7 linked regions of the Macaca fascicularis genome follow. The protein of the gene in region 1 purifies or fractionates together with the protein of each later gene. This does not show direct contact. Links are inferred from orthologs where the notes say so. Each region holds a gene or a part of one and is shown on either strand. Other genes may lie near its edges. The genes, in order: STAU1, IQGAP1, NCL, ILF2, IGF2BP1, FMR1 and RPL14.

Region 1 (3,456 bases):
GGAGGCTGAGACCTTGAATCCAGGAGTTCAAGACCAGTCTGAGCAGCATGAAACCCTGTCTCTACAAAAAATTAAAAATCAGCCAGGTATGGTGGCTTGTGCCTGTAGTCTGAGTTACAAGGCTGAGGTGGGAGGATTGAGCCTTGGAAGGTCAAGGCTGCAGTGAGCCATGATCATGCCACTGCACTCAGCCGGGGCGACAGACCCTGTCTCAACAACAACAAAAAAGGAACGTAAAAAGAAAAATTCTTGTCTGCCAGAAGTGGTAAGCAGGACCTCGGCAAAAGCCAAGGCTGATCTTCTTTCCCGTCACTGTATGGTCCTGGTGAGATAAACTTGAAATCAAGCCTAATTCATTGATGTCTGCCAGTCGTATTGACAGTGAGAAACAGCTTCAGTCGTGGCCAGTTAATAACTGACTGAGACCCCAGATACCACCAGTATAGATCTTAGACTTGGATTTTGAGTTTTTCATTTCAGAATCTTATAGGACATTCATAGTGTCCTTTGTTACTTCGTAGAAAGGTGAGGTAGTGTTTGACAGAATTCTTAGGTAATAACATTTTCCCCATAAGGGTGTTAATTTTGGAATGTCACCTTATTTTTTAATTGGATATCAGCTCCAGGAAATATTCTTGATTTATTTGTTTAGCTTCAGTCTGAAAGCTTCTTTCCCCACTTTGGTGGGCTCTACCGTCTAGCATCTCTGCTCTTTCTGGTTAAATGCTTCCCGTCTTCCTGTGGGTGCAGAGTGCAGCTCAGCATTCACAGGTTAGTGCACTTTGTTAGATGCTCTTTGTGGGCAGGGGTGTGGGCAGGAGGGTGCGTTAGGAGAAGGAGGCAGGCTCTGCCCAGGTGTCTGTCAGCGTGCCAGTGGTCAGGTGGGGCAGGGTTTTTCTGCCGATTGCCTCAGTTATTGCTGATTGGATTTTATGCAGGTTTAGACAGCAGGAGCTAATTTTTCAATGATCTGATTTATGCTCATGGCCTTTTTGTTTGTTTGTTTGTTTGTTTCTTTTTTAAGACACCCATAAAGAAACCAGGGGATGGAAGAAAAGTAACCTTTTTTGAACCTGGCTCTGGGGATGAAAATGGGACTAGTAAGTGTGATCTTAATATCATCTTCCTCTGAACGTGATTCTGGGATTTGCATGGGTCCTGAATGACAGCAGGAGTCCAGCCAGTGAGGTCCTGCATGCAAAGTGTCTGTATCATTCCCCGATTCCCTGCGCCGCCATGCATGGCAAGGGGAGGGCCAGCGTGGGGTTTGATGGTGTCATCGCGTTTTTCCAGGCTGTGGATGTGGATTCGTGTTTACCGTGTGTGTCCCTCCCAGGTAATAAAGAGGATGAGTTCAGGATGCCTTACCTAAGTCATCAGCAGCTGCCTGCTGGAATTCTTCCCATGGTGCCCGAGGTCGCCCAGGCTGTAGGAGTTAGTCAAGGACATCACACCAAAGATTTTACCAGGGCAGCTCCAAATCCTGCCAAGGCCACGGTAACTGCCATGATAGCCCGAGAGTTGTTGTATGGGGGCACCTCGCCCACAGCCGAGACCATTTTAAAGAATAACATCTCTTCAGGCCACGTACCCCATGGACCTCTCACGAGACCCTCTGAACAACTGGACTATCTTTCCAGAGTCCAGGGATTCCAGGTAACTGTCAGGCTTGAGCTGTGATGGCTGTGCCTCAGGACAGTCATCCTTTGGCTTCTCTCAGAAAATGAACTTTGGACTTTGTTTCTTAAATCAGGGATGGGTTGGGGAGCAGTGGTGGAAGGGTGGCAGGGAAGGAGGTATAGAAGTATTGTAAGCATATGTGGTAAGAGAAACATCTTTATCCTTTAGTAATATTTCAAAATGCAAGCCAACCCTAAAAACAAAGCTTCTAACCACTTGCAGTGTTGTAAATTTGGATTTCAAAGAACGGACTCATCATGCTGACACCTTCTGCCTGGTGGGAAAGGATATGGCTTCTCCCAGTCTAGGGCTTCTGAGCAGACACCTAGGTTCCTGGAAGGTTCTGGGCTGACAGAGCAGGTTTTGGTATAGCCACAGTCAGGCTGAGTTGGAGAGAAGAGCGGGTGATCTCCTTGCTTGTGGGGCCCGGAGCTGTAGCCCTTCAGCCCACTCATACTTGCTGTTCCCTACCCTACCTAACCTCAGCTCTCTTTTCCTCCTTAGGTTGAATACAAAGACTTCCCCAAAAACAACAAGAACGAATTTGTATCTCTTATCAATTGCTCCTCTCAGCCACCTCTGATCAGCCATGGTATCGGCAAGGATGTGGAGTCCTGCCATGATATGGTATGTCACACCTTGGGTGAGGGATTAGGGTGTTAAGTTGTGTGTTTATGTGGAGCCTGCCTTGGTTCAGCTTGTTACTAGCCTGAGGAATGTGGGAGAAAGATTCTCCCATAGACTTTGAGAACAATTAATTCTTTGATAGTGTTCATATTTTTTAAGACTTTTTGTCATAACTGCTTGGATTGATTTCTCACTCTTGATCAGAACTCATCAGCTTTAGTCCACCTTTCCCTTTTCCCTGCTGGTCTGGAGGGGCGACTGGGATCCTGCAGCTCACCTGGAGACTGCACTCACTTCCTCTCTCACCAGAACAAGGAACTGCAGGTCCATGTTCTGGCAGCTGTAAAAACCACTTGCTTTGGTGTTCTATTCAGATGAAATTACTGTTATAAGAAAACTGAGATGGGGCCGGGCGCGGTGGCTCAAGCCTGTAATCCCAGCACTTTGGGAGGCCGAGACGGGTGAATCACGAGGTCAGGAGATCGAGACCATCCTGGCTAACCCGGTGAAACCCCGTCTCTACTAAAAAATACAAAAAACTAGCCGGGCGAGGTGGCGGGCGCCTGTAGTCCCAGCTACTTGGGAGGCTGAGGCAGGAGAATGGCGTAAACCTGGGAGGCGGAGCTTGCAGTGAGCTGAGATCCGGCCACTGCACTCCAGCCTGGGCGACAGAGCAAGACTCAGTCTCAAAAAAAAAAAAAAAAAAGAAAACTCAGAAAAGGAATTGATCAGATTAACAAATCTAAGCAAACTGTGGTGTATTTACTTGATGGGACATCATGCATGCATGAAATTAATGTCTCTGGGTGGGGTGCGGTGGCTCACGCTATAATCCCAGCACTGCGGGAGGCTGAGGCGGGCGGATCACCTGAGCTCAGGAGTTCGAGACCAGCCTGGCCAATGTGGTGAGACCCCATTTCTACTAAAAATACAAAAAAATTAGCCAGGTGTGGTGGTGGGCGCCTGTAATCCCAGCTACTTGGGAGACAAGGTAGGAGAATCGCTTGAACCCAAGAGGTGGAGGTTGCAGTGAGCTAAGATCGCACTACTGCACTCCAGCCTGGGCAACTGGGTGAGACTCTGTTTCAAAACAAAACAACAAAACAGTGTCTCTGAAGATAACGTAATAAGAAAAATACATGATAGGCC
Region 2 (3,500 bases), on another chromosome or scaffold:
TTGTCTTTATTTCTCTTTTCTGGATGGTTACTTTTAATATTTTTTACGTATTTATATATTTTTATGTGTAGAATTAGGCCTCATACTCAGAGTTAATTTGTCATAAAAGAGTTTTTCTTTTCCTTGTTTGTAGAACCTTTGTCTCAGGTCATGTTCACTTCTTTGGGTCTGATCTTAATTTTTCATCATTAAAGCAGGAAGCCACTCCTTGGATTTCTTCTGTTTCTGAACCAAGAATAAATTAAGAGTAACAATAAGAGGAGTTTGCTTTATTCCACTTACAGCTAGGAACCAGGCACTTAACCTTCATTTTCTTTTCTGGGAAGTATCAGCTTGCTTTGCACCTGGTTCATGGACCTGACATGTCATCCTCGCATAGATCCTGGGCCCAGCCTCATTAGCAAGCATTTATTAAGCTTCTGCTCAGTCAGCCCTGTGACCTCAGGCTACTGATCTTTCCCTTCTTGTGTCTGGGGAAAAAAAAAACTTTTAAAAAAAGAACTTTTACAGTTTTCTGATTCTAAAATAATATGTATTCATTATTAAACTTTGAAGATACAGTAAAGCATAAAAAAGAAAACACCTGTAATTTCACAAGCCAGAGATAACCAGGGAAATCATTTTAATGTGTTTTTTTTCTATTCACATAAAGATTATCCACAACTCACCCACTTATTTATCTAACTACTTTATATATATATTTTTTTTGTTCTTCTTCTTCTCCCCCCCCCCCCTTTTTTTTTTTTGACGGAGTCTCTCTGTCACCCAAGCTGGAGTATGGTGGCGCGATCTCAGCTCACTGCAACCTTGGCCTCCAGGGTTCAAGCAATTCTCCCACCTCAGCCTCCCAGTTAGGTGGGACTACAGGCATGCATCACCACACCCAGCTAAGTTTTTGTATTTTCAGTAGAGATGGGGTTTCACCGTGTTAGCCAGGATGGTCTTGATCTCCTAACCTCGTGATCCTCCCATTTCGGCCTCCCAAAGTGCTGGAATTACAGGCCTTTTTTTTGGAGGGGGAACAGTCTCTCTGTGTAGCCTAGGCTGGAGTGCAGTGGCATAATCTCAGCTCACTGCAACCTCCAGCTCACTGTAACCTCCGCCTCCCAGGTTCAAGTGATTCTCCTGCCTCAGTCTCCCAAGTAGCTTGGATTACAGGTGCCTGCCACCACATCCAAATAATTTTTGTATTTTTAGTAGAGACAGGGTTTCACCATGTTGGTCAGGCTGGTCTCAAACTCCTGATCTTAAGCTGATCTGCCCTCCTCAGCTTCCCAAAATGCTGGGAGGATTATAGGGATGAGCCATTGCACCCAGCCTAAAATAACTACTTAATATTTTTTAACACAAACTGGGACAATACTGTTTATGGTCATGTATCCAACTTTTTTCTTATAACATTATGCTGTGAGCATTTTTTATATTCATTGAAAGCATCCTTTTTAATGGGTACATAATTTTTAAATTTTTTTCTAGAGAAAGAGTCTTGCTGTGTCACCTAGGCAGGAGTGCACTGGCATGATCACAGCTCACTGCAGCCCTAACCTCCTGGGCTTAAGAGATCTTCCCACCTTAGCCTCCCATGTAGCGGGGACCATAGGCATGTGCCACCATATCCAACTAATTATATTTTGTAGAGACAGGGTTTCACTTTGTTGCCCAGGCTGGTCTTGAACTCCTGGGCTCAAGCAGTCCTCCTGCCTTGGCCTCCCAAAGTGCTGAGATTACAGGCATGAGTCAATATTGCCCTTCTTTTTGTCATTATTTTCCACTACTGTTCAAGTGCCTACCTCTATTTGCCTTTCTTTCTTCTTTTTAATTTGCTTCTATGGGTTTAGAAACTAAATAGCCAACTAAATCTGATAAAATTATTTATCACTTAAGATAAATATCTTTAAGGAATAACCCGTGAGGCATTCCAGTTGAATAAAATGCATGTATGTTTCAGTGCATGGGTTTTTGTGACTTTTCCTTTAACTCTCAGTGACCTTTTTGCATCTTTCATGGTTCTCAGCCCTGTTTGTAATAGGTAAGGTAGCTCCATAGTTGAGTTCTGGAAATCTGGGGTGCTATACTTTGATCACCCAGAGGATGCCTTAATCCTTTTTTTTTTTTTTTTTTTTTTTGGGGGGGACAGAGTCTTGCTCTGTCACCAGGCTGGACTGCAGTGGCACTATCTCAGCTTACTGCAACCTCTGGCTCCCGGGTTCAATCAATTCTCCTGCCTCATCCTCCTGAGTAGCTGGGACTACAGTTGCATGCCACCACACCCAGCTAATTTTTGTATTTTTAGTAGAGACGGGATTTTACCATGTTGGCCAGGATGGTCTCGATCTCTTGACCTTGTGATCCACCCGCCTCGGTCTCCCAAAGTGCTGGGATTACAGATGTGAGGCATCGTGCCCGGCTGCATAACCCCTTTTCCTTTTGGCTTCCTAAAATTTCCTGGCAGGTAACATGTTGTGAATGAGTGATAACTTAAATATTTTTAATAATAACAATTTATCTTTGGTAATACTGAGTGTGCTTATGTACACAGCACCTACTCTTTCTAGAAAAACCTCCTCCCTTGGAGCTTTTTTTACTGACCCCCTTTTGTTTATTTACTTCTCCCAGTCCTCAAACATGCATGTATTCAAACACACATACCATCTCCTTCCACCCCAGTTTCCTGTTTTCTCCTTTTATCATTAGGTTTCATTTTTGGCCATGTGGAAGTGAAGAGAATTACTATGATGTCATCCCTTCACAGGCCACTTGTGGCACTCCTCAGTGGTTCTTCTTTTATAGAATGCAAGTGCTGCAGGCAGAGAGAGGTTGCCATTCCTCTCTCCAAGTCCCAGAGCAGATGGTACTTAGGCATGGCAATCCGTGCTGCTTCAGGTGCAGAAGTACTTTTGACCTGTATTTTCTACCCCTTTTCACCCTTGAAGACTTGGTTCATCTCCTTTCCCCATTTCACAGAATATTTTTATATAAGAACATAAAAACCATACCCTTACGATGTTATCTTTCAACAGGTTTAAAAATGTTATCTTTGAAATCAGTCCAACAGAAGAAGTTGGAGACTTTGAAGTGAAAGCCAAATTCATGGGAGTTCAAATGGAGACTTTTATGTTACATTATCAGGTGGGTATGCACCAGCAGGAACCAAAAGCTTTCTGGATGAGATTCTTGTCCAAGTAGGAGAACTAGATAAAGAGGAGACTCATCTGAGGAAAGCTGTCTACATTCAGCAGTGAGCTGGGCTCCACACTGTGGGGAAAGAAGCTGAGTGTTGCAGCACGTCTGGTTTGGTGTGTACACTCTGGAGAGCTTTTGCAGATGTAAATCTTCAGAAAACATTTATCTGAAGCTTCCACTTAGTGCTGCCACTAAATTGAGCTGATACCTTGGACTTGAACAAAATGCATAAGTACACATGCTGACATTGCAAAATTGTAAGTCCACTCAGTAGCTTGAAATTTTTTTCTCATTTTGATTTGATGTAGGTACTTAAA
Region 3 (3,979 bases), on another chromosome or scaffold:
CAATCCCCGACTCCCCGGTTCATGCGCCTCGGTCTCCCAAAGTGCTGGGACTGCGGGCCTGAGCCACCGCGCCCCGCCTGAGGTGATTTTTAACAAGTACAGCCGTAGCTGCAGGTATCCTGGTTCTGTAGGAACAATGAGGTATGGATGGATCCATACCTGGACCCATGGATTGGATGGATCCCAGGCAGGCCCTGGACGGAGGGAAATGCTCTGTTGCTAAGCCCGGCATCGAGGGAGGCCCACCCTCAAAGCTAACCGTGGAAGTCACTCCGGCCTCCTTCGCCCTGCCGCCGGGGAACCCTGCCGGTGGCTCTCGACCTGCTCCCGAGCCATCTGGTGACACTGACTTAGCAGCCACCACCTTAATTGGCGCATTCGACGCAAATAACAACCAGGGAACCTGTGGGCGGTCAAAGGCCCGGCTTTGCGGTCGGCCCGCCCAGGCCCCTCTCCTTGCCCTGTGAGGCCAGAAAGTTACTTCTCCGAGGCCGTTCCCCATGACGAGAAGTATCTCCCGCCTGAGGTTCTGTGGGGTAGGGGAGGTTCGTGCATTTCTCACAGAAAAACCTCGCACAGACCCGCGACTGCCTTTATTAACGGCTCTCAGAAGGCTGCCTGCAGCCGGGGGTGTCTCCAGTCCCATGCTCGCGGGCAAGCAGGGCTGAGCTGTGCCTCCGAAAGGGCCAACGGGAACTCCGCGGTCCCTGAACTTCCGGGGCTGGCGGGCTTCTTTCTCCAGGGCCACCGGGAGCCCCGGCGTGAGTGCGTGCCGGGGCCGCGCGCGGGGTCTTTGAGGAACTCCAAGGCTGCCCGAGCCTAGGGAGCCAGCCACATTGGAGATCCCTAGACCGCCCGATTCCACCACCCCCGAGGTCCCCTCACAGCCGGCGCCAAAAACGCCAGTCCCACGGCGCAGGCCGGGACCCGCGCGCCCACGGCCCAATCAGCGCCCGCCTTGCACAAAGCGAGCCCCGCCCCCACGGCACGGCTGCCAGCCCCTCCCCCTCCCGTGGCCGCCTCGGCCCGCCCACTCCCCGCCCCGCGCCGTTCTCGGTTAGAGGCTCGCGATTGGCTCAGGGGGACTGCCGCGAGCTCTGGTTGGTCGGCACGGAGTCACGAGGGCGCCGTCGTCGCCTTTCCACAGGCGATTACTGGGCAGGCTCAGTCTTTCGCCTCAGTCTCGAGCTCTCGCTGGCCTTCGAGTGTACGTGCTCCGGGATCTTCAGCACCCGCGGCCGCCATCGCCGTCGCTTGGCTTCCTCTGGACTCATCTGCGCCACTTCTCCGCTCCACACTCCGCCGCCATAAGCCGCCATCATGGTGAAGCTCGCGAAGGTAAACGGCCTTGAGCGCGAGCGCAGACGTCTAGGCCTGCTCTCCGAGGGGCGAGCGCGGCGGCGCGGGGAGGAGGGCCTGCGCGCAGTCCCGGGCGCGTTCTAGGGCGCCATGCTGCGGGAAGTCTCGCGCGATTAGTGGGGAGGTCTCGCGGCTTCTGGCTAGTTGGTGGCGAGGTGAAGAGCTTCTGCAGGTGCTGGGGGCGGCGAACGCGGCGGGAAAGACGGAGTTACTGAGCGCGGGGAGGGGGCGCTGGGCCCCGGGGTGGGGAGATGAGACCAAACTCCTGCGACGCATACGAGTCGGGACCCGACTCCTGACGCACGTGCCCGGGTGCGCGGCCTGCCACGTGGGCCGCGCCGCGTGGGTCCTGGAATCTCCAGAGGCACCGGTGCCTTGCGCCAGGAAATGGCGGTATACGTCCTAGTCGGAGTCCTGGCCTGGCAAGCCGACACGTGGTGGGCCCCGGAAGGTGGCTCTGCCGCGTGCCTTTTGCGCCGTGTTTCGGGCACGTGGTGGCCTACCAGGTACCCCCACGTGGCCGCGCCGCCTCTTTAAGGGGCGGGGTTGTCTTGCTGGGAAAAGCATAATGTTCATGAGAAAACCAAGGTAGTTACTTCTTACCTTCGGGCGGGTTTTCTGTTTGTGAAGCCCGGGAGGAAAATTGTGGGCGGTTGAGAGTAGTCCATCTTGCATTGCCATCAGGACTCGTTTTGATGTTGTGCTGTTTGGCACTATGAGAAATGGATCTGAGAAAGGAGAGATGATGGCGTTTTACTATGAACAGTAATGGCAAAATATGAATGGCCTGAAATGTTGAGGTGGAGGTGTAATGACCTACTTGTGTCCATTTTAGGCAGGTAAAAATCAAGGTGACCCCAAGAAAATGGCTCCTCCTCCAAAGGAGGTAGAAGAAGATAGTGAAGATGAAGAAATGTCAGAAGATGAAGAAGATGATAGCAGTGGAGAAGAGGTAATTTTATCTAGCTTAATGCAGAATTGTGTTAAAACTACAACAATGGAGAGTTAAGACATGAAATTGGATGTCTGTGGCTAAAATAAGATTTTATTCATCCAGGTATGTCCTATTGTAGTGGTGGTTTCACAAGCTCTTCACTGACATGTCAAGGTGTCATTTGGCTAAGTATTTGAATGTGAGTTTGAGACAAGAGGTCTGGGGATCTCCTTTCCATGTGCCTCTGCAGGGCAAGGAGTGTGATTTGTTGTGTTAAATCATTAAATTTTTCCAGTTTCAACATGTTAGCCTCACCCCGACATGTAGAGCTGGGCATTGTATTCAGATCTGAGGATAACCTTCCCAGATTCCTTTCCTAGCCTCCAATTAAGATTAATTGGTCTCCATTCCATTATATATAAACTTTGTAATTCTACTCACTGCGTTATAGTTATCTTTGGTGTAGACTGAGGGCTGCCACCTCTTTGTGTTAACATTGACCCTCTTTACTCTTTGGCAGTCCTGGCCTTTTATTTGCTCACTGTAAAGACATCTGAGCACTGAATTGTGCTCAGGTTTCTCGTTGAGAATTGAATAAAAGTTTTATTCTTCCACACATTGCCTAATAAAACTATGGGATTTTCATGTAGCTAAACGATGGCTTTTATCAAACTAACATGCTCACTCTTTGATGTGTGATAGTTTTGTAAGGGATAGTTATGTTTAGCCTATTTGATCTTCATTTTATCTCAGGTCCCAAGAATTGAGCTTCACTGGACTCAGTACTGCCATCCACCATAGGAGCCCCAAATGATTTAATACGTTAATGCTTGGAGCCTCCTAGGTGTAAGGTTCTGAATAATTTACGCATAGCAATTCATTATTGTTATACGTGTAATATGATACTATTACCATTTTCAGATGAGAAAGTTGGGGTTTGGGAAAATATGAGGTGCAAGAATTCAGAGGTCTGGTTCAGAGGTATTTTAAGTGTTCAAAAGGGTTCCTTATGGCTGGGTATTCACCTGATAATAAGGGCTCTGACCTAAGACAACATAACAGAAGCCTGGAGTTTAACATGCTAACATGTGTCTAGCGCATGTGGTCTTGAACCAGAAGCATTGCCAGAATCTAACACTCACTGGGACCATGGTTATCCTTTTGGGTGTGGGGCTGGACTTACTGGTTTGGTTTTCATTTATTCTCAAGGTTGTCATACCTCAGAAGAAAGGCAAGAAGGCTGCTGCAACCTCAGCAAAGAAGGTGGTAGTTTCCCCAACAAAAAAGGTTGCAGTTGCCACACCAGCCAAGAAAGCAGCTGTCACTCCAGGCAAAAAGGCAGCAGCAACACCTGCCAAGAAGACAGTGACACCAGCCAAAGCAGTTGCCACACCTGGCAAGAAGGGAGCCACACCAGGCAAAGCATTGGTAGCAACCCCTGGTAAGAAGGGTGCTGCCATCCCAGCCAAGGGGGCAAAGAATGGTAAGAATGCCAAGAAGGAAGACAGTGATGAAGAGGAGGAGGATGACAGTGAGGAAGATGATGAGGATGATGAGGACGAAGATGAGGATGAAGATGAAATTGAACCAGCAGTGATGAAAGCAGCAGCTGCTGCCCCTGCCTCAGAGGATGAGGATGATGAGGATGATGAAGATGATGAGGATGAGGATGATGACGATGAGGAA
Region 4 (4,266 bases), on another chromosome or scaffold:
ACAGAGGGAGACTCCATCTCCAAAAAAAAAAAAAAAAAAAAAAATTAGCTCAGAGTGTTGTGGCCTGTGCCTCTGAGTAGTCCCAACTACTGGGGAGGCCGAAATGGGAGAGTCTGTTGAGCCCAGGGGGTCGAGGCTGCAGTGAGCTATGATGGTGTACCACTGCTCTCCAGCCTGGGCAACAGAGTGAGACCCTGTGTACAAATAAAATAATAGAAGAGAGGGTAAGAGACAAAGAGATTACTGGGGGAAAAGTCTAATACGTCTTTGGAGTTCAGGAAGGAGGGAAATAATAGGTAAAACTAATACTGGAAGATATAATAGCTAATAAATTATATAAATGGATGACAAACCTCAAGCCATTGATTCAAGAAGCTCAACAAACCTCAAGCAAGATTTTTTTTTTTTTTTTTTTTTTTTTAAGACGGAGTCTCCCTCTATCGCCCAGGCTGGAGTGCAGTGGCGCCATCTCAACTCACTGCAACCTCCGCCTCCTGGATTCAAGATTCTCCTGCCTCAGCCTCCCGAGTAACTGGAATTACAAGTGCCCGCCAGCACAAGCCACCGCACCCGGCCCTTTTTTTTTTTTTTTTTTTTTAAATTAATAACATTTATTTAAATCTGGATGGTGGTTATGTGGACAGAATACGTTTAGACTTAAGATGTTTACGTTCTGCTGTAGTAAATTAAATATCAAAAAAGTACGTATGGAAGGGAGGTAGATGAGGGATAAAAGTCTACAAGTTGGATTCAGTGTATACTGCTCGGGTGATGAGTGCACCAAAATCTCACAAATCACCACTAAAGAATTTATGTAACCAAGCCGGGCGCGGTGGCTCAGGCCGGTAATCCCAGCACTTTGGGAGGCTGAGGCGGGTGGAACACCTGTTTTCCACATTAATTCAATCAATATACTCCTCCTATCTGAAACCTGTTTCTCCTGCTTCGAGTTTGTAGACGTGTAGTGTTCATAGTTGCCTAAACTCCCTTTTCCCCATCAACTTCAACTGCTAGTGGCAAAAATGGCTGATACCGCTTGCGTTTTTGGGGTAGGAAAATCGGCAAGGTATTTTCATTCACTGAATGTAATGTAAATTACGTGTACGGTACAGGGCAATGAAAAAAATTCCGATAGCAGAGGATGGTTTCGATCCATCGACCTCTGGGTTATGGGCCCAGCACGCTTCCGCTGCGCCACTCTGCTATCTGAAGGCCAACGTTCTCATAACTGTTATAGAAGACCACGTAGTCGTTGTCCTGACTTCTTCAGTGCCACCTAATGTCTGATCAAAAATTCGTCATTACTATAGAACCAGTTCTTATTGGCTAGTTCCTGACACAGTAGGCGTTTTTTATTGGTTCATAAGCCCGGTTTGACAAAGTAAGCCAATAGGCATAAGCGATGGGGTAAGGCGGGAGCCAATCACGCCGGGTTTTATTGGGACACGCCGGCAAGACTCCTCTTCAGTTGTCTGCTCCTCAGAGGAAAGGGGCGGTTGGTGCGGCCTCCATTGTTCGTGTTTTAAGGCGCCATGAGGTAAGGGGGTCGAAGTGGTCGAAAGGTTTCAGGTATTCGACGGAAAACTTTGGGAACGTGGGTCGAAAGAAGTCGGAGTACCTAAAAGGACCATGTATCCGGGAGCTGGCCAAAAACCTGAGAACTCCTGGTCTAGGAGAGTGGGAGAGAGTGAGGCCGGTAGAGGCGGGGAAACGGGCCCGGGATGGGGTTGGGGCCGGGGCCCAGGAGTGGGGAGGCGGGTTCGACACCTCTCTTTGAAGGGTTGCGATGAGGAGGTGTCCTCAAGTCCACGGAGGAGCTCCCCACCTTCCCTCCGTCCCCGTCATCCGGGCTGAGAATGCTGGAGCGAGCCGCATTCATCCTCAGTGCGAAGGGCTTGACATACAGGACATGCCCGATAAATGTGTACGTTAATGAAGAAATGAGCAATCTTTAGCTTCCGAAGTATTAGGATTCGTGTGGCCCAGGATTATGGGTTATTTCGTGTAGGGCTCACTGTCTGAGCCCCATCATTACTTGATGGGGGGTTGTGATTAACTTATCCAGAATGAGGAGGTTATGGGGGTGTAACTGGGCACCATTTGGAATGGGGAGAAGTGTGTGAGTGGGGTCTCTTGCCTACCGTTGGGAGGTTCCGAGGGATGAAAGTAGCCAACTTAAAATGACATGGCCGGTGGGTATTCCTTCAATGAGATCAAAATAAAATCTGCATTTCTAGGGGTGACAGAGGCCGTGGTCGTGGTGGGCGCTTTGGTTCCAGAGGAGGCCCAGGAGGAGGGTGAGTGCCAGCTTTTAGCATCTCTGCACTTAGTTGTTAGTTTCTGCTTGTCATCTAAATAGGAGTTTTGGAATAGACTAATGTCACTTGGTTTTGTGAGAGCCAACTGTGGTCTTTTCCGCACTCCTGCTAAATGAATTTGGCCCCACTATGCTAAGAATGATTCTCTCCCTCCCCAGAGACTTTGTCACTCATTCTGAGGTCTGACATGTTTTCAAAATTGTTGGTGTTATTTAAATCTCACTTGATTCCTACATAGGGAATAATTTGGCTGTTTTTCATGTTTTAGGTTCAGGCCCTTTGTACCACATATCCCATTTGACTTCTATTTGGTGAGTACCTTGGGTTAATAATACACAATTTCTGGCCATTCTTGAAATGGAGCCTAGTATCTCCCAGTTAATGAAGTTAGATAGTGGTTGAAGAGGGCAGGCACAGTGCCTCACACCTGTAATCTTAGCACTTTGGGAGGCCGAGGCGGATGGATCACCTGATGTCAGGAGTTTGAGACCATCCTGGCCAATATGGTGAAACCCCATCTCTAGTAAAAATAAAAAAGTTGCTTGGGCGTGTGCCTGTAATCCCAGCTACTTGGGAGGCTGAAGCAGGAGAATCGCTTGAACCCGGGAGGCGGAGGTTGCGTGAACTGAGATGGCACCACTACCAAAAAAAAAAAAAAAAAAAATGGTGATTGAAATGAGGGGGAAAGTGATTTTTGAAAAGACTTGGGGTTTTGAGTCAACTGTGTGTTGCTTTACCTACAGAAACAGTGTAAGCATGGTGGGGAGAATAATTCCTTGACTACTGTTGGCATTAAACATGATTATAATCTTTGTTCTGAACAAGTAATCGTATCTATGGCTAATTTGTTACTATAAAGATAGTGATAGCTTAAATTATGGCTATTCCAGCTTGTATCCTTGTTTGAACATTTTTTCTTTTTTTTTTTGAGACAGAGTCTCACTCCGTCACCCAGGCTGGAGTGCAGTGGTGCAATCTTGGCTCACTGCACTGAACCCGGGAGGCAGAGGAATCAGGACCTCTGCCTCCCAGGTTCAAACAGTTCTCCTGCCTCAGCCTCCCAAGTAGTTGCTATTATAGGCGCCATGCCCAGCTGTTTTTTGGGTATCTAGTAGAGACGGGGTTTCACCATGTTGCCCAGGCTGATCTTGAACTCCTGACCTCAAGCGATCTGCCCACCTCGGCCTCCCAAGGTGCCGGGATTACAGGCGTGACCCACCATGCCTGGCCTTTGAACAAATTTTTTTTTTTTTTTTTTTGAGGCAGGGTCTTACTGTGTTGCCCAGGCTGGAGTGCAGTGGCACGATCTTGGCTCACTGCAGCCTCGCTTCCTGTGTTCAAGGGATTCTCCCACCTCAGCTGGGATTACAGGCGTGAGCCACCATGCCCAGCTAATTGAACAAATTAAGGAGTAAAAACAAGTGTAGAATTTTCTATTTTTAACCTTTTTCTGTCGTAGTAATAGAAAAAACAATCTCTCCTGTATATTATTTTCGGCAAATGGAATGTAGTTGTTTACTTCTGGTTTAGTGTGAAATGGCCTTCCCCCGGGTCAAGCCAGCACCTGATGAAACCTCCTTCAGTGAGGCCTTGCTGAAGAGGAATCAGGACCTGGCTCCTAATTCTGCTGAACAGGTATGTTCTTTTGGCTGTCTTCCAGAAATGTCTCTAAAGCAGGTAAAAGTATTGGTAAAGAGTAACTGTTGGTAAGGTTAAGAATGGTGTTAACAGAGCCTGAAATCCACAGAGGGTTTAATTGTTCTCCTTATTTCTCATTGTGGGTGGAGATAGCCAGGTGAATATATAAACAAATTACATATGCATTCTTATTTTTATTGGGGACAAAGAGTTGTTCTCTTTCCATATATTCAAGGCCAGAATGAAGTGTTTTTAAAGTCCTAGGTCAGTATTGAGTCAGCTCATATGGAAGGGATTAGGAGAAAATACT
Region 5 (3,932 bases), on another chromosome or scaffold:
TTCGCGCTTAGCCCCCCGCCCTCCGTCCCTCTCCCGCCTTCCCGCCGGGTTCGGAATCCTGCACCCCAAACAAAGTTCCGAGACCCGAACCTAGGGCCCAGAGAGCTGCCAGCAGTGTCCTGGGTGGTGCGGGCGCTGGAAACTCCACCTGTCTGTCCCCGACTCGGAGGGAAAAGGGGACCATTCAAATCTCCACCCGGTCACTCCCTCCCTAAGACCTCCCCCTTCGGTTCGCTCGGGTTAGCCCTAGCTATCACCCCTCTTCTTTCTGTCCCACTGTCCCTCTCTCCTGGGGTCATCTCCGGCCAGTTCCGCGAGTTTCCCCCAGGACCCCGTAACGTTATCATTTAACAGCCGGACCCCGGGTGCGAACCACCCTTTCTCCCGTGGGGATCTCAAAACATGATTTCCCGCGGCTTCCTCGTTCTCCACTGGGATCCCCCGTGTTCCCAGCTTCCCAGTCCCGCGCTCGCAGGGTCCCCCGGTCGTGCATCCCCGGAGGCGGGGGAGTTTAGTGGGGCTGGGGTGGTGAAGGCAGAGACCCCCCCATTTAAACATCTAGGGAAAAGGTGGCTTTCTTTTTAAATCACCAGCTCGTGCGACCCTCTCCTGAAGACCCCAGAGTCTTCGGCTTCTCTTTGTCTATCTCGGCCGTCCCCCGCCTGTCAGTCGCTAGCAGTTAACCGGGGTGGGGTGAGCAACCCCGCCCCCCAAAACGAATAAAAAATAACCGTACATTTTACCCTTTAAGACCTGGGAGATCTGGGCTGGACCATCCTCCCCCAGTTCGGGCTGGGGTAGGGGGATGGGTGGGGGCGGGGCGCTTCCCTAGGGGCCAGGTTCTTGCAAAGGGGGAAGGGGCCATAGAGCTTCAGGGACGCTGCCCCACCGCCCCAGTTTACCACGGGGGTGAGTTGAGTTCCCCACCCTCAGGCGGGAGATTGCTGGGTTTGGCCGGAGGGCCGAGGGGCCCTGTGGCGTCGGGGGTCTTCCCCTGCAGGGTGGGTGGGGGCTGTCACCACGTGGCTTCTCCTTTTTTTTTTTTTTTTTCCGCTCCATTTTTTTTCAAGTCGATTTTATTTAGAGGCGGCGCCAGGGCGGCCGCGGAGAAACGTGACACACCAGCCCTCTCGGAGGGGTTTCGGACCGAAGGGAAGGAGCTGCGCCGCGTCGTCCGTCTCCCTGCGCGCCGCGGGCACTTCTCCCGGGCTCTCCCCGAACTCTCCCGCGACCTCTGCGCGCCCTCAGGCCGCCTTCCCCGCCCTGGGCTCGGGACAACTTCTGGGGTGGGGTGCAAAGAAAGTTTGCGGCTCCTGCCGCCGGCCTCCCCGCCTCTCGGCCTAAGAGGCTTGCCGCCCGCGTCCACTCGTTTGGCCTTGCCCGGGACCGCGTCCTGCCCCGAGACCGCCACCATGAACAAGCTTTACATCGGCAACCTCAACGAGAGCGTGACCCCCGCGGACTTGGAGAAAGTGTTTGCGGAGCACAAGATCTCCTACAGCGGCCAGTTCTTGGTCAAATCCGGCTACGCCTTCGTGGACTGCCCAGACGAGCACTGGGCGATGAAGGCCATCGAAACTTTCTCCGGTAAGAGCACAGCCACCTCCCGGAAAAGCCACAACGAAAGCCCCGAACAACGGAGACCCGCACCTTCCGGTTCCTCTCCCGCCAACTCCTCTCTTCCCGGGCCTGCGGGGCTTGGCCTCTGTACCCAACCTCGACCTACCCCCTTCGATGCCCCCTCCCTCGCTCTGCGCCCCCCACCCCCGCGCAGAAACATTCGGGATTTCCTCATCCCTTCCTCCCAGCCCGAGATAAGCAGCTCTGGCTTCCCCCATCCCTCCTCCCCACCGACGGGGCGGGAGCCCCCACTGGCAGTAGTGGGGGGGTGGATTTAGGGACACGGAGATGACCCCCGGCTGGGCGTTATTTCCACGTCCAGCCCCTCCCTGTCCGCCGGTGGACGGCCCCCCAGCTGGAAAACCCTGGCTCTCCTTCCTCAGTCTTAGGCCTTTCCAGGCGTGGAAGGGGTCCCCCGGACCGCTTGCGATCTCTCCGTTTAGCGTGGGGAATGCAGCCCTCTAGCAGGACTTGCAAGGAAGGGGGTCCTGCCTCCTGCCTAGGGCCTGGGGCTTGAGCCATTTTGATTTGAAAGTGGGGCGTGAGCGGAGTGGCGCGGCGGCGGCGGCGCCGGGTCGCCATGCTGCTTCCCGAGACGCCGAGGCTGGGCCGAGAGGCGCGCGCGGCGGCAGCCAGGCACCCTCCCCGCCGGGCCCCGCTTCGCTCCCCCAGGTCCACCCCTTCCCAAACCAGTCCCGACAGGTGACCGCTCCGCGGCTCCAAGCCCTTCTTCCTGGCCAACAGAGAAAAATAAAGTTTCGTTCTGTACACCGCCTCCCGCCCCGCGCCCCACTTTCTGAGGAACGGGGAGCCCTTTCTCTCCTAGCTCCTTCTCCCCACATCTGGGAGCAATGTAGGCAGCGCAACCACACAAATGGCCTCGCACCTTTCCCAAATCGGGATTCCAGAGCGATCCACTCAACGAGCCTCAGTGATTAAATAAAGCAAAAATTAAAAAATGAATAATAACGAATTTATAGACTCCACCATTCCTAGAGCAACCTTTTTCCCATCTGGCTGCAGAAGCCACTGCCTGGATTCCTAGGAAGATCTCGAATCCCAGTAACTCCTGAATTAGCCTAGTGTCTTTCCCCTTCCTCTTCCCACCCCCAACCCCTGTTCACGCTCTCATGGTAATTTTTTTTTTTTTTAATCTTTAGGGAAAGTAGAATTACAAGGAAAACGCCTAGAGATTGAACATTCGGTGCCCAAAAAACAAAGGTAGGAAAGAGCTCTTTTCTGGGGGGGGTGGGGGGGCCGCGGGGGTGTGCTGAGAAGCTGTGTTCAGGGGTCCATAGCGTCTCCAGTGGAAGAAACCCATTACTGGTCTTTCCCACCCCCAACTCCGGATGTTGGGGGCAGGGAGGGAAGATTGGCCAAGATCTTGTAATGGGTGGTTTACAGCTTGTAAAAAAAAATAAGTTGGGGCTGGGGTGGGCTAAAAGATGTTGCTTGTAGAATTAAAGGGGAAAGAAAATCAATAGGGGAGAAACCTTTTGGAGTTTGTTCAACTTGTGGGGCCGTTTTTTGTGGTGAACCTTAAAATCTTCGAAGAGTTCAGACTCAGGGCGATTTCTGCAACTTCGTAGCAGGCCTCATTTTCTGTTTTTCCCACTCTTTCCACACCATAATTCTTAAGTGGATTGCCCTTCTACTCCTAAGTGATGTGGAATCAGTTTCCCGTCCTCCAAAGAATCCCCTTATGCTTGTATTTTATTTATATTTCTGCAACAGGCAAAGACTTTATTTTCCATGGACCCCCCCACCCCCAATCCCTCATATCTCACATCATCCTTCTTCCCAACTGGATTTTCCAAAGAATATGCCTTGGCTGTACTATCCTTTTCGAGCCCCCCTACCCCCACTCCTTCAGCCCATTGTTACAAGGGGACCATCTGGGGTGAGAGCTTTGTGTTGAGGCTGTGAGCTGGGGCTCTTTGGAGGGTCTAGAACTCCGTGGATGAATTGAATGGGGTGTGTGTGTGTGTGTGTGTGTGTGTGTGTGTGTGTGTGTTCCAGTACCCTCTCTCTATTCTCTCTCTTCAGCAAAATGGGGTACCTCCATCATGCTTACCGAGAATTCATGGTGGATTTCAAATATTGCATTGAACTCTGAAATCTTTCCTTGAACTCTGGCTGGGAAGTGTAAGGGCAGAGTCTTTCCACTTTTCTCAAATCAGACTTTAAACATGTTGACAGTGTAGAGTTTGCTCTCATGTCCCAAGTTGAAAAGCAGCTCCCAGTAAATCTTTGATCCTCCTCACCCCCCATTTCAACTGAAAACTTGGTACAATTCAGAATAGTCTCTGGCC
Region 6 (4,170 bases), on another chromosome or scaffold:
GCCTCATGTGACTACTTCAAAGACTCTAGTCCAAAAGGTCTTTCCTGTTTACTATGGTCTTGAGGAATGTGGCCCTAGATCCACTGCTTTAAAGCTGGAGTTCCACCAGCAGCAACATCCTCTCATTCTGGGGCAGCTGCCTGAGGCAGGTCATCCTGCCTCGGCCAACGCAGTGCTACCAGTTAACTCTCACCTGCCATATTCCAGCTGGAATCATTTCCCCTTCTCCACCCCAGACTGGGTCATGTTCCGCCATCATGGAAGCACCTATTCTTCATATCCCTTATCACAGCTGCAACTCCTCATTTACTTGCCTGATAATTTGATTTATGTCCATCTACTTTGCTAGGTTCTAAGTTCAATGCTGGCAGTCTTTTCTTCTTTTTTTTTTCTTTTCTGTTTTGCTCACCGACTTCTCGCTAGCACTTAGCACAGTGCCTGGCACATGATAGGTACATAAACTTCTCAGTTGGGTACCAGCATCCCGAAGGGAACATGGATTAAGGCAGCTATAAGCACGGTGCAAAACAGGAATAAGAAAAAGTTGAGGTTTGTTTCACAGTAGAAGGTAAAGGGTTGCAAGCAGGTGCATCGGCCCCTGTAGACAGGACGCATGACTGCTACACACGTGTTCACCCCACCCTCTGGTACAGGGTGCACATAGAGTAGGGGCAGAAATGAACCTCAAGTGCTTAACCCAATTTTTAAAAAATATATGGTCAAGTGAAAAGTATGAAAATTAGTTGAGGAAAGGTGAGTACGTGGGTCAAAGCTGGGTCTGAGAAAAGGCTAACATTTTGAGGTCCTGACTCAATCCATGTCCCTTAAAGGGCACAGGGTGTCTCCACAGGGCCACCCAAAATCTGGTGAGAGAGGGCGTGACTCCTCACCCTCTGCCTCTACAGGTCACAAAAGCCTGGGTCACCCTGGTTGCCACCGTTCCTAGTTCAAAGTCTTCTTCTGTCTAATCCTTCACCCCTATTCTCGCCTTCCACTCCACCTCCCGCTCAGTCGGGCTCTCCGCTACTTTGAAACAAACCAAACCAAACCAGACATCCCCCGGGAATCCTAGCGAGGCCGAACTGGGATAACCGGATGCATTTGATTTCCCACGCCACTGAGTGCACCTCTGCAGAGATGGGCGTTCCGGCCCTCGCGAGGCGGTGCGACCTGTCACCGCCCTTCAGCCTTCCCGCCCTCCGCCGAGCCCGCGCACGCCCGGCCAGCGCCTCTGACGTTCGACCCGAATCCCCGGACGGTTCCCAGAAGCGCGCATGCGCGCGCTCCCAAGCCACTTGAAGAGAGAGGGCGGGGCCGAGGGGCTGAGCCCGCTGGGGGAGGGAACAGCGTTGATCACGTGACGTGGTTTCAGTGTTTACACGCGCAGCGGGCCGAGGGTTCGGCCTCAGTCAGGCGCTTAGCTCCGTTTCGGTTTCACTTCCGGTGAAGGGCCGCCTCTGAGCGGGCGGCGGGCCGACGGCGAGCGCGGGCGGCGGCGGTGACGGAGGCGCTGCTGCCAGGGGGCGTGCGGCAGCGCGGCGGCGGCGGCGGCGGCGGCGGCGGCGGCGGCGGGCGGCGGGCGGCGGCGGCGGCGGCGGCGGCGGCGGGCGGCGGGCGGCGGCGGCGGCGGCGGCGAGCGCCCGCAGCCCACCTCTCGGGGGCGGGCTCCCGGCGCGAGCAGGGCTGAAGAGAAGATGGAGGAGCTGGTGGTGGAAGTGCGGGGCTCCAATGGCGCTTTCTACAAGGTACTTGACTCCAGGGCAGGCCCCATCTTCGCCCTTCCTTCCCTCCCTTTTCTTCTTGGTGTCGGCGGGAGGCAGGCCCGGGGCCCTCTTCCCAAGCGCCGTGCCAGGGCACGCTCGGCGGGATGTTATTTGGGAGGGAAGGACTGGACTTGGGGCCTGTTGGAAGACCCTCGAGCCCCGCTCCGAGTCCGAGAGGCCCTAGCGCCTATCGGAATGAGAGACCAGCGAGGAGAGGGTTCCCTTTCGGCGCCGAGCCCCGCCGGGGTGAGATGGGGATGGGCGAGGGCCGACGGCAGGTACTAGAGCCGGGCGGGAAGAGCCGAAATCGGCGCTAAGTGACGGCGACGGCTTATTCCTCCTTTCCTAAATATCTTCTCCCAGCGGGATCCGGGCCTGACGTGTGGGTAGTTGTGGAGGAGCGGGGGACGCTTCAGCCGGACCGCCTCCTGCAGCGCCAAGAGGGTTTCAGGTCTCCTTTGGCTTCTCTTTTCCGGTCTAGCATTGGGACTTCGGAGAGCTCCACTGTTCTGGGCGAGGGCTGTGAAGAAAGAGTAGTAAGAAGCGGTAGTCGGCACCAAATCACAATGGCAACTGATTTTTAGTGGCTTCTCTTTGTGGATTTCGGAGGAGATTTTAGAACCAAAAGTTTCAGAACATGGCCCAGCAATGCATTGAAGAAGTTGATCATCGTGAATATTCGCGCCCCCCTTTTTGTTAAACGGGATATATTCAGGAATGCACATGCTTCAGCGTCTAAAACCATTAGCAACTCTGCTACTTAAAAATTTTGTGTGTATGTTTAAGTTTCCAAAGACCTAAATATATGCCATGAAACTTCAGGAAATTAACTGAGAGTATATTATAAATAGGGCATTTTTTTTTTTTTTAACTGAGCGAAAATATTTTTGTGCCCCTAAGAACTTGACCACATTTCCTTTGAATTTGTGGTGTTGCAGTGGACTGAATTGTACTGAGTTGTTGAGGCCTTATATAGGCATTCATGGGTTTACTGTACTTTATAAAGTTACACCATTGCAGATCAACTAACACCTTTCAGTTTTAAAAAGAAGATTTACAAATTTGATGTAGCAGTTGTGCGTTTGTTGGTACGTAGTTGCTGTAGATCTATTAATCTATAGATTCTCATTTCCTTTTGAACGTCTATAACCTCTTGAAATAATATCCCACCTTACTACAGTATTTTGGCAATAGAAGGTGCATGTGGAAGGAAGCAGTGTCCAGCACAATTCTTAAATGTATTATAGAATGACTTGAATGTTTCAAACAGGACACGTTTGGCTATAGGAAAATAAACAATTGACTTTATTCTGTGTTTACCAATTTTATGAAGACATTTGGAGATGAGTATATTTCATAAATGAGTAGAGTATGTAAACCGTTCCATACTTTGAGCACAGAGTTAAAACCTTTTGCTGTAAAAGGAGGCAAAAGGTAACCCCACGTTTATGTTCTTAACACTCTCATAAATATAAAATTGTTTCAGTTGACTCTGCAAAGTTTTAATTTCATTGATCGATAATTTCTTCTGGTGAGTTTGCGTAGAATCGTTCAGGGTCCTAGATTAGTGGTTTTGGTCACTAGATTTCTGGCACTAATAACTATAATATATATACATATATATGTGTGAGTAAGGGTTAATGGTTAAGCAAGATTCTGATTGATCTGTGATACAAACTTAGATTGGATGCCACTAAAGTTTGCTTACCACAGAGGGCAAGTAGCACATTATGGCCTTGAAGTACTTACTGTTCTCTTCCAGCAACTTATGATTTGCTCCAGTGATTTTGCTTGCAAACTGACTGGAATATAAGAAATACCTCCTATTTTGCTATTAATTTCCTCCTTTTCTGTTTCGTTTTGTAACGAAGTTGTTTAACTTGAAGGTGAATGAAGAATAGGTTGGTTGCCCCTTAGTTCCCTGAGGAGAAATGTAATACTTGATCAAGTGTGTGTCAGATAAATTGCTGTTACGTTTATTTAATTAAGTTTGATTTCTAAGAAAATCTCAAATGGTCTGTACTGATGGAAAAATAGTTTCTGTAACAAAAAAGCTTGCAATTTTTATATGACTTATAATTTTGCTGTGAGTTTAAAAAGTAAAGCAAAAGTAAACTGAGTTACTTGTCCAGTGGGATGGACAGGAAAGATGTGAAATATAAACCAATTAAAAATGAACTGCTGTGGATAAGTGTTACATTTATGGAAAAAGAAATAGGAACCTTGTTCATCAAATTGATAGAAAAGCTTTAAAAACTAAACAAACAACTTGAGTATAATTGAATTCAGACTTTGATTCGCCTGACATAACCACCATATTTCCAAGGACATCTCTCTATCTTCTGGTGTTTATTCTTAAAAACTTAAAAGTTAGATTTAGCAATCACCAGAGCCACTACTTTTATGC
Region 7 (4,104 bases), on another chromosome or scaffold:
CATTCACTCAAATAGCTGGGACTACAGGAGTACACCACCACACCCGACTAATTTTTGGACTTTTAGTGGAGATGGGGTTGGCTAGGCTGGTCTCAAATTCCTGGCCTCAAGTTATCTTCCCACCTTGGCCTCCCAGAATGCTGAGATTACAGGAAGGAGCCACTGCACCCATCCAAGCCATTCATTCTCATAACAAACAAAGTAATTAATGTTAACTCTTAGGCTCTTTAAAAAAAAATTTTATGGTAAAAATTTGTGGCCAAACATCCTAAAAATAAAATCCAAGGTGCTCCGGAATCCAAGGCAGAATTACAAGAGTACCTAGTGAAAAATCCAAGTTACCAAGTATTTTCTACTGCTTTGAACTTTGACAAGTATCCTCAAGCTTCACTCCTAATTGTGCTGCAAACAATGCGGTATGTCACAGTAGCAGCAGCACGGCTATGTTCACTCGAGGCTATTCAAGTGGCATGAGGGGACCACCAGTACTTCCATTATGTGTTAATACACGTACTGCAATGTCTGCAGCACTCAGCATACAGCAAGTTTTTGACTATTTTTTAAAGTATGCAAAATTACATTATTTAGATCTACTTTATCTGTAGTGGCCACGTGATAGTACATGTTCCACTGCAACCATCACTGTGAGTTGAATTAACTGTACAGCAACACACTAAAGTGTTTTAATTTTCATGTCAAAAAAGAACCGCTATTCACCGTCTCATTTAAATGTAAGCTAGGGATAAAACCTTTCATGTTAAATACTGTGTAACTGACACACACTAAGAGCTCGCCTAATGATAGCTAGTATCAAAAAACCTAAGACTTAGTATTTTTGTTACTTTAAGCTAAAAGTTGGGCAGAGACCAGAAGAAAAGAGGATGGCAAGTCTAAACAAAGGCAAAGCCCTAAACTACCAGGGTAGAAAAGTGACTTTAAGGCATTTATTTTATTTATTTTCAAGACAGGGTCTCACTCTGTCATCCAGGCTGGAGTGCAGTAGCATGATCATGGCTCTCTGCAGCCTCGACCTCGCTAAAGTGATCGTGCGAACTCAGCGCCCCCGCGGCCCCCCGACCTGGGATTACAGGCACGTGCCACCATGCCCAAGAAATTTTTTTGTATTTTTTGTAGACAGGGGTTTCCGCCATGTTGCCCATGCTGGTCTCGAAACTCTTGGGCTCAAGAGACCCTCCCATTGTGGCCTCCAAAGTATTAGGATAACAGGTGTGAGCTATCACCCCCAGGACATTTTAAAAGTAAATAATCTCTGTCTACTTCTATAACCTAAATCCCTCTTCAGGATGGCTCGGAATCTTCCATATTGTTTACTCTAAAACAAACTTTTACTAGTATAAACAAATCTGGGGATGGGAGGGAGGAGTGATGATTAGTGGATAGTTACCTGTGTGGAAACTTGAGGATGAAATCAGTGAGCTGCATGCACTTGAAAGGCATGGCCTGTCTCCTCACTTGAGTGCAAGGTCCATCGACCAAAGCCTAGAACACAAACATCAAGAACTTCAGTGCAAAATCTAACAGCAATTAAAATGGTCAGATGGTTCTGTAAAATTACTTATCCGTTCAGGGCCATCAAACCCACACTACTATTTAAATAAAGTGCTCAGAAAAGACAAGGATTGTCCTATCTGGGTCACGTATGTTTACTTCTTTTGCTCAACACAAACATTTCTCCACACCGTTAAATGCTCCTTTTTAAACTATTAGTACCCAATAGAAACCAACCACATGTAATTTACAGGCAACTTTAGGACTCTGATCCCTTTTCATTTATAGCCAGTGGTCAACTTCTTAGTTTGCCTGTCTCAAATACACAGCAGTAAATACAAAAGTGCTTTCTATGTGTTGGATCTGTTCTAAACTCACTTTATGTATAGTAACTCATTTAAAACTAACCAACTTTTCAGTCCATAACTGGCTCTACCTTAAGTGGCTAACACTTAAATTCAATACTAAGAGCTAATTTTAGACTGTGCTTACAACCCTTACCATTACCTGTTTCCTCAATGGTAAAATAAAGCTACCACCCACAGCAACCTCACCTTACACAGCCATCGAGACAATTCATTATTGTTAACTGCAAAGCACATGTCCACTGCCATGTTTAGTAAGAAGTTGTGACACTTACCCTGTTCTGATCAATAACATCTACAATCGCGACCAATTTTCCGGCATGAGGTCCAAAGGAGACATAGGCCACCCGGCCAACCTCCACGAAGCGCCTGAACACCTAAAAGTGGGGGAGAAAGGGCAGTGAAACTTACTTATAAATACTTACTAGATATGTTACCTTCTACAGCTAAAGACGACATGGTTAAATTCAGCGAAAAGGAATGCTGCAGGGGAACACCCGCCCGAGCGCCAGGCGCCAACCTGGATGGACGAAATCGGCAGACGCCTCAGTAGCTAAAGCCCGCTCCCACCGCCACCGCCTGCCAGCTCTCAGTTCCGCAAGGCCCAGGCGGCGGGCGGGACAACGCTCTCGGACCCCGAGCCGCCTCAGCCGTCCAGCTCCAGCGGCGGAGGCGCGCAAGCGTGGCCCAAGGCGCGCCAGGCCTTGCCGGGCCCTCCACGCGCTCGCCAGCCGCGAGTCCGGGAAGGGTCAGTTTCCGGTGCACAGCCGGCCCGGGGACCCTCACCATGCGGTTCCCGGGACCCTCTGGGAGCCGTTCGGCGCCTCAGCTTCCCAGCAGAGGTGGAGGTCGAGCTGCATGGTCGCCAGCCCCTGAGCCCGCATCAGTAAGACTCACCATGTTGGCGGCGTTAGGCGAGAAGGAAGGAGGCCCGCCCAACCGTGCGCATGTGTAGAAGAACGCACCGCCCCTTCGGTAACGAGACGCCGACGTGGGCACCGATTGGTTGGTGCGTGAACCCGTGCGTGCGTAGGCGCAGCTCGCTGGAAAAACATGGCGGAGCCGGCTGGAGCCGAATTGCTTTCTGGCAAAGTTGGGCGGCGAGATTGTCTTTGGTGATTTGGATTGGAGAGCTGCAGGAAGATCATCGCTTAGTAATTTAGGGTTAAGAGTACGGAAGCTATGTCTTCCGTTGATCGCATGCCATTTGACTTCCTTTTTATTTCCCCCAGTTTTACTTGTTGGTTATTCATGGCTTAGTACTAAGCCTGTTCGCTCCTCACGTTCTCTCCCTAATCTCAGTAACTTTGTTAACCTTTCATTTTAAAGTAACTCACACTTACAGAAATATTGCTAAACTAGTACAAATAATTCCCATAAGCCCTTCTAGATTCCACAAATGTTACCGTTTTGCACGTGCTATATCATTCTGCCATTTGAGAGGACATTGCCGACATGATGTCCTTTTATCTCTACTTTTTTTTTTCTTTTTTTTTTTTTTTAAGACGGAGTGTCGGTCTGTTGCCCAGGCTGGAGTGCGGTGGCGGGAACTCGGCTCACCGCAACCTCCGCCTTCCAGGTTCAAGCGATTCTCCAGCCTCAGACTCCCAAGTAGCTGGGACTACAGGCGCGCGCCACCATGGTGGGCTAAGTTTTTTGTATTTTCAGTAGAGACGGGGTTTCACTATGTTGGTCAGGCTGGTCTCTTAACTCCTGACCTCGTGATCTGCCCCTCTTGGCCTCCCAAAGTGTTGGGATTACAGGCGTGAGCCCCCGCGCCCAGTGTTACATTCTTTTATAGAGACAGGGTCTCCCTCAGTCGCCCAGGCTGGAGTGCAGTGGTGTGATCACGGTTCCCTGCAGCCTCTAACTTCTGGGTGAAGATGATCCTCTTGTCTTGGCCTTCCAAAGTGCTGGGATTACCAGCGGGAGCCACCATGCCCAGCCTATGTATACATTCTTAAAATGTGTATTTCCTAACAACAAAGAGATTCTCTTATGTCGTCAGTACACTTATCAAAATCAGGAAATTAATATTGCAATAGTACTGTTATCTAACCTGCAGTCCTTATTCAAATTTATAAGTTGTTGCTCCTATGTTCTTTGGAGCAAATGGGGAAAAAAAATTTTTTTCCAGGCTCTTGGTCTAATGGAGGATTACAAATTACATTTATTTATCAGGTCTCTAGTCTTTAACTGATAGTTTTAGATTTAACTCAAATTTGTAAAA

Evidence for each region.
Region 2: the proteins of STAU1 (region 1) and IQGAP1 purify together in Homo sapiens (affinity purification with mass spectrometry; 4 studies listed by BioGRID and IntAct, with this or other methods). This does not show direct contact. The link is inferred for Macaca fascicularis from reciprocal best matches to the Homo sapiens genes STAU1 and IQGAP1.
Region 3: the proteins of STAU1 (region 1) and NCL purify together in Homo sapiens (affinity purification with mass spectrometry; 4 studies listed by BioGRID and IntAct, with this or other methods). This does not show direct contact. The link is inferred for Macaca fascicularis from reciprocal best matches to the Homo sapiens genes STAU1 and NCL.
Region 4: the proteins of STAU1 (region 1) and ILF2 purify together in Homo sapiens (affinity purification with mass spectrometry; 3 studies listed by BioGRID). This does not show direct contact. The link is inferred for Macaca fascicularis from reciprocal best matches to the Homo sapiens genes STAU1 and ILF2.
Region 5: the proteins of STAU1 (region 1) and IGF2BP1 purify together in Homo sapiens (affinity purification with mass spectrometry; 3 studies listed by BioGRID and IntAct, with this or other methods). This does not show direct contact. The link is inferred for Macaca fascicularis from reciprocal best matches to the Homo sapiens genes STAU1 and IGF2BP1.
Region 6: the proteins of STAU1 (region 1) and FMR1 purify together in Homo sapiens (affinity purification with western blotting; 3 studies listed by BioGRID and IntAct, with this or other methods). This does not show direct contact. The link is inferred for Macaca fascicularis from reciprocal best matches to the Homo sapiens genes STAU1 and FMR1.
Region 7: the proteins of STAU1 (region 1) and RPL14 purify together in Homo sapiens (affinity purification with mass spectrometry; 4 studies listed by BioGRID and IntAct, counting the BioPlex papers as one, with this or other methods). This does not show direct contact. The link is inferred for Macaca fascicularis from reciprocal best matches to the Homo sapiens genes STAU1 and RPL14.

What each region holds. Positions count from the first base shown.
Region 1 is NC_088384.1:105,179,368-105,182,823, reverse strand, and holds part of STAU1 (double-stranded RNA-binding protein Staufen homolog 1), read left to right. Parts: intron 1-1,024; coding exon 1,025-1,100; intron 1,101-1,336; coding exon 1,337-1,656; intron 1,657-2,184; coding exon 2,185-2,307; intron 2,308-3,456. UniProt on the Homo sapiens protein: Binds double-stranded RNA (regardless of the sequence) and tubulin.
Region 2 is NC_088381.1:75,033,894-75,037,393, forward strand, and holds part of IQGAP1 (ras GTPase-activating-like protein IQGAP1), read left to right. Parts: intron 1-3,020; coding exon 3,021-3,129; intron 3,130-3,500. UniProt on the Homo sapiens protein: Plays a crucial role in regulating the dynamics and assembly of the actin cytoskeleton.
Region 3 is NC_088386.1:127,382,824-127,386,802, reverse strand, and holds the start of NCL (nucleolin), read left to right. Parts: upstream 1-1,179; 5' UTR 1,180-1,320; coding exon 1,321-1,338; intron 1,339-2,194; coding exon 2,195-2,311; intron 2,312-3,502; coding exon 3,503-3,979. UniProt on the Homo sapiens protein: Nucleolin is the major nucleolar protein of growing eukaryotic cells. It is found associated with intranucleolar chromatin and pre-ribosomal particles. It induces chromatin decondensation by binding to histone H1.
Region 4 is NC_088375.1:107,500,966-107,505,231, forward strand, and holds the start of ILF2 (interleukin enhancer-binding factor 2), read left to right. Parts: upstream 1-1,466; 5' UTR 1,467-1,532; coding exon of another isoform or gene 1,533-1,537; 5' UTR 1,538-1,856; coding exon 1,857-1,924; intron 1,925-2,237; coding exon 2,238-2,297; intron 2,298-2,586; coding exon 2,587-2,629; intron 2,630-3,829; exon of another isoform or gene 3,830-3,848; coding exon 3,849-3,953; intron 3,954-4,266. UniProt on the Homo sapiens protein: Chromatin-interacting protein that forms a stable heterodimer with interleukin enhancer-binding factor 3/ILF3 and plays a role in several biological processes including transcription, innate immunity or cell growth.
Region 5 is NC_088390.1:57,718,337-57,722,268, reverse strand, and holds the start of IGF2BP1 (insulin-like growth factor 2 mRNA-binding protein 1), read left to right. Parts: upstream 1-1,132; 5' UTR 1,133-1,412; coding exon 1,413-1,587; intron 1,588-2,780; coding exon 2,781-2,841; intron 2,842-3,932. UniProt on the Homo sapiens protein: RNA-binding factor that recruits target transcripts to cytoplasmic protein-RNA complexes (mRNPs). This transcript 'caging' into mRNPs allows mRNA transport and transient storage.
Region 6 is NC_088395.1:153,966,523-153,970,692, forward strand, and holds the start of FMR1 (fragile X messenger ribonucleoprotein 1), read left to right. Parts: upstream 1-1,370; 5' UTR 1,371-1,694; coding exon 1,695-1,745; intron 1,746-4,170.
Region 7 is NC_088376.1:103,299,984-103,304,087, reverse strand, and holds the start of RPL14 (large ribosomal subunit protein eL14), read right to left. Parts: upstream 2,801-4,104; 5' UTR 2,775-2,800; coding exon of another isoform or gene 2,772-2,774; 5' UTR 2,664-2,771; coding exon 2,661-2,663; exon of another isoform or gene 2,395-2,660; intron 2,252-2,394; coding exon 2,150-2,251; intron 1,501-2,149; coding exon 1,406-1,500; intron 1-1,405.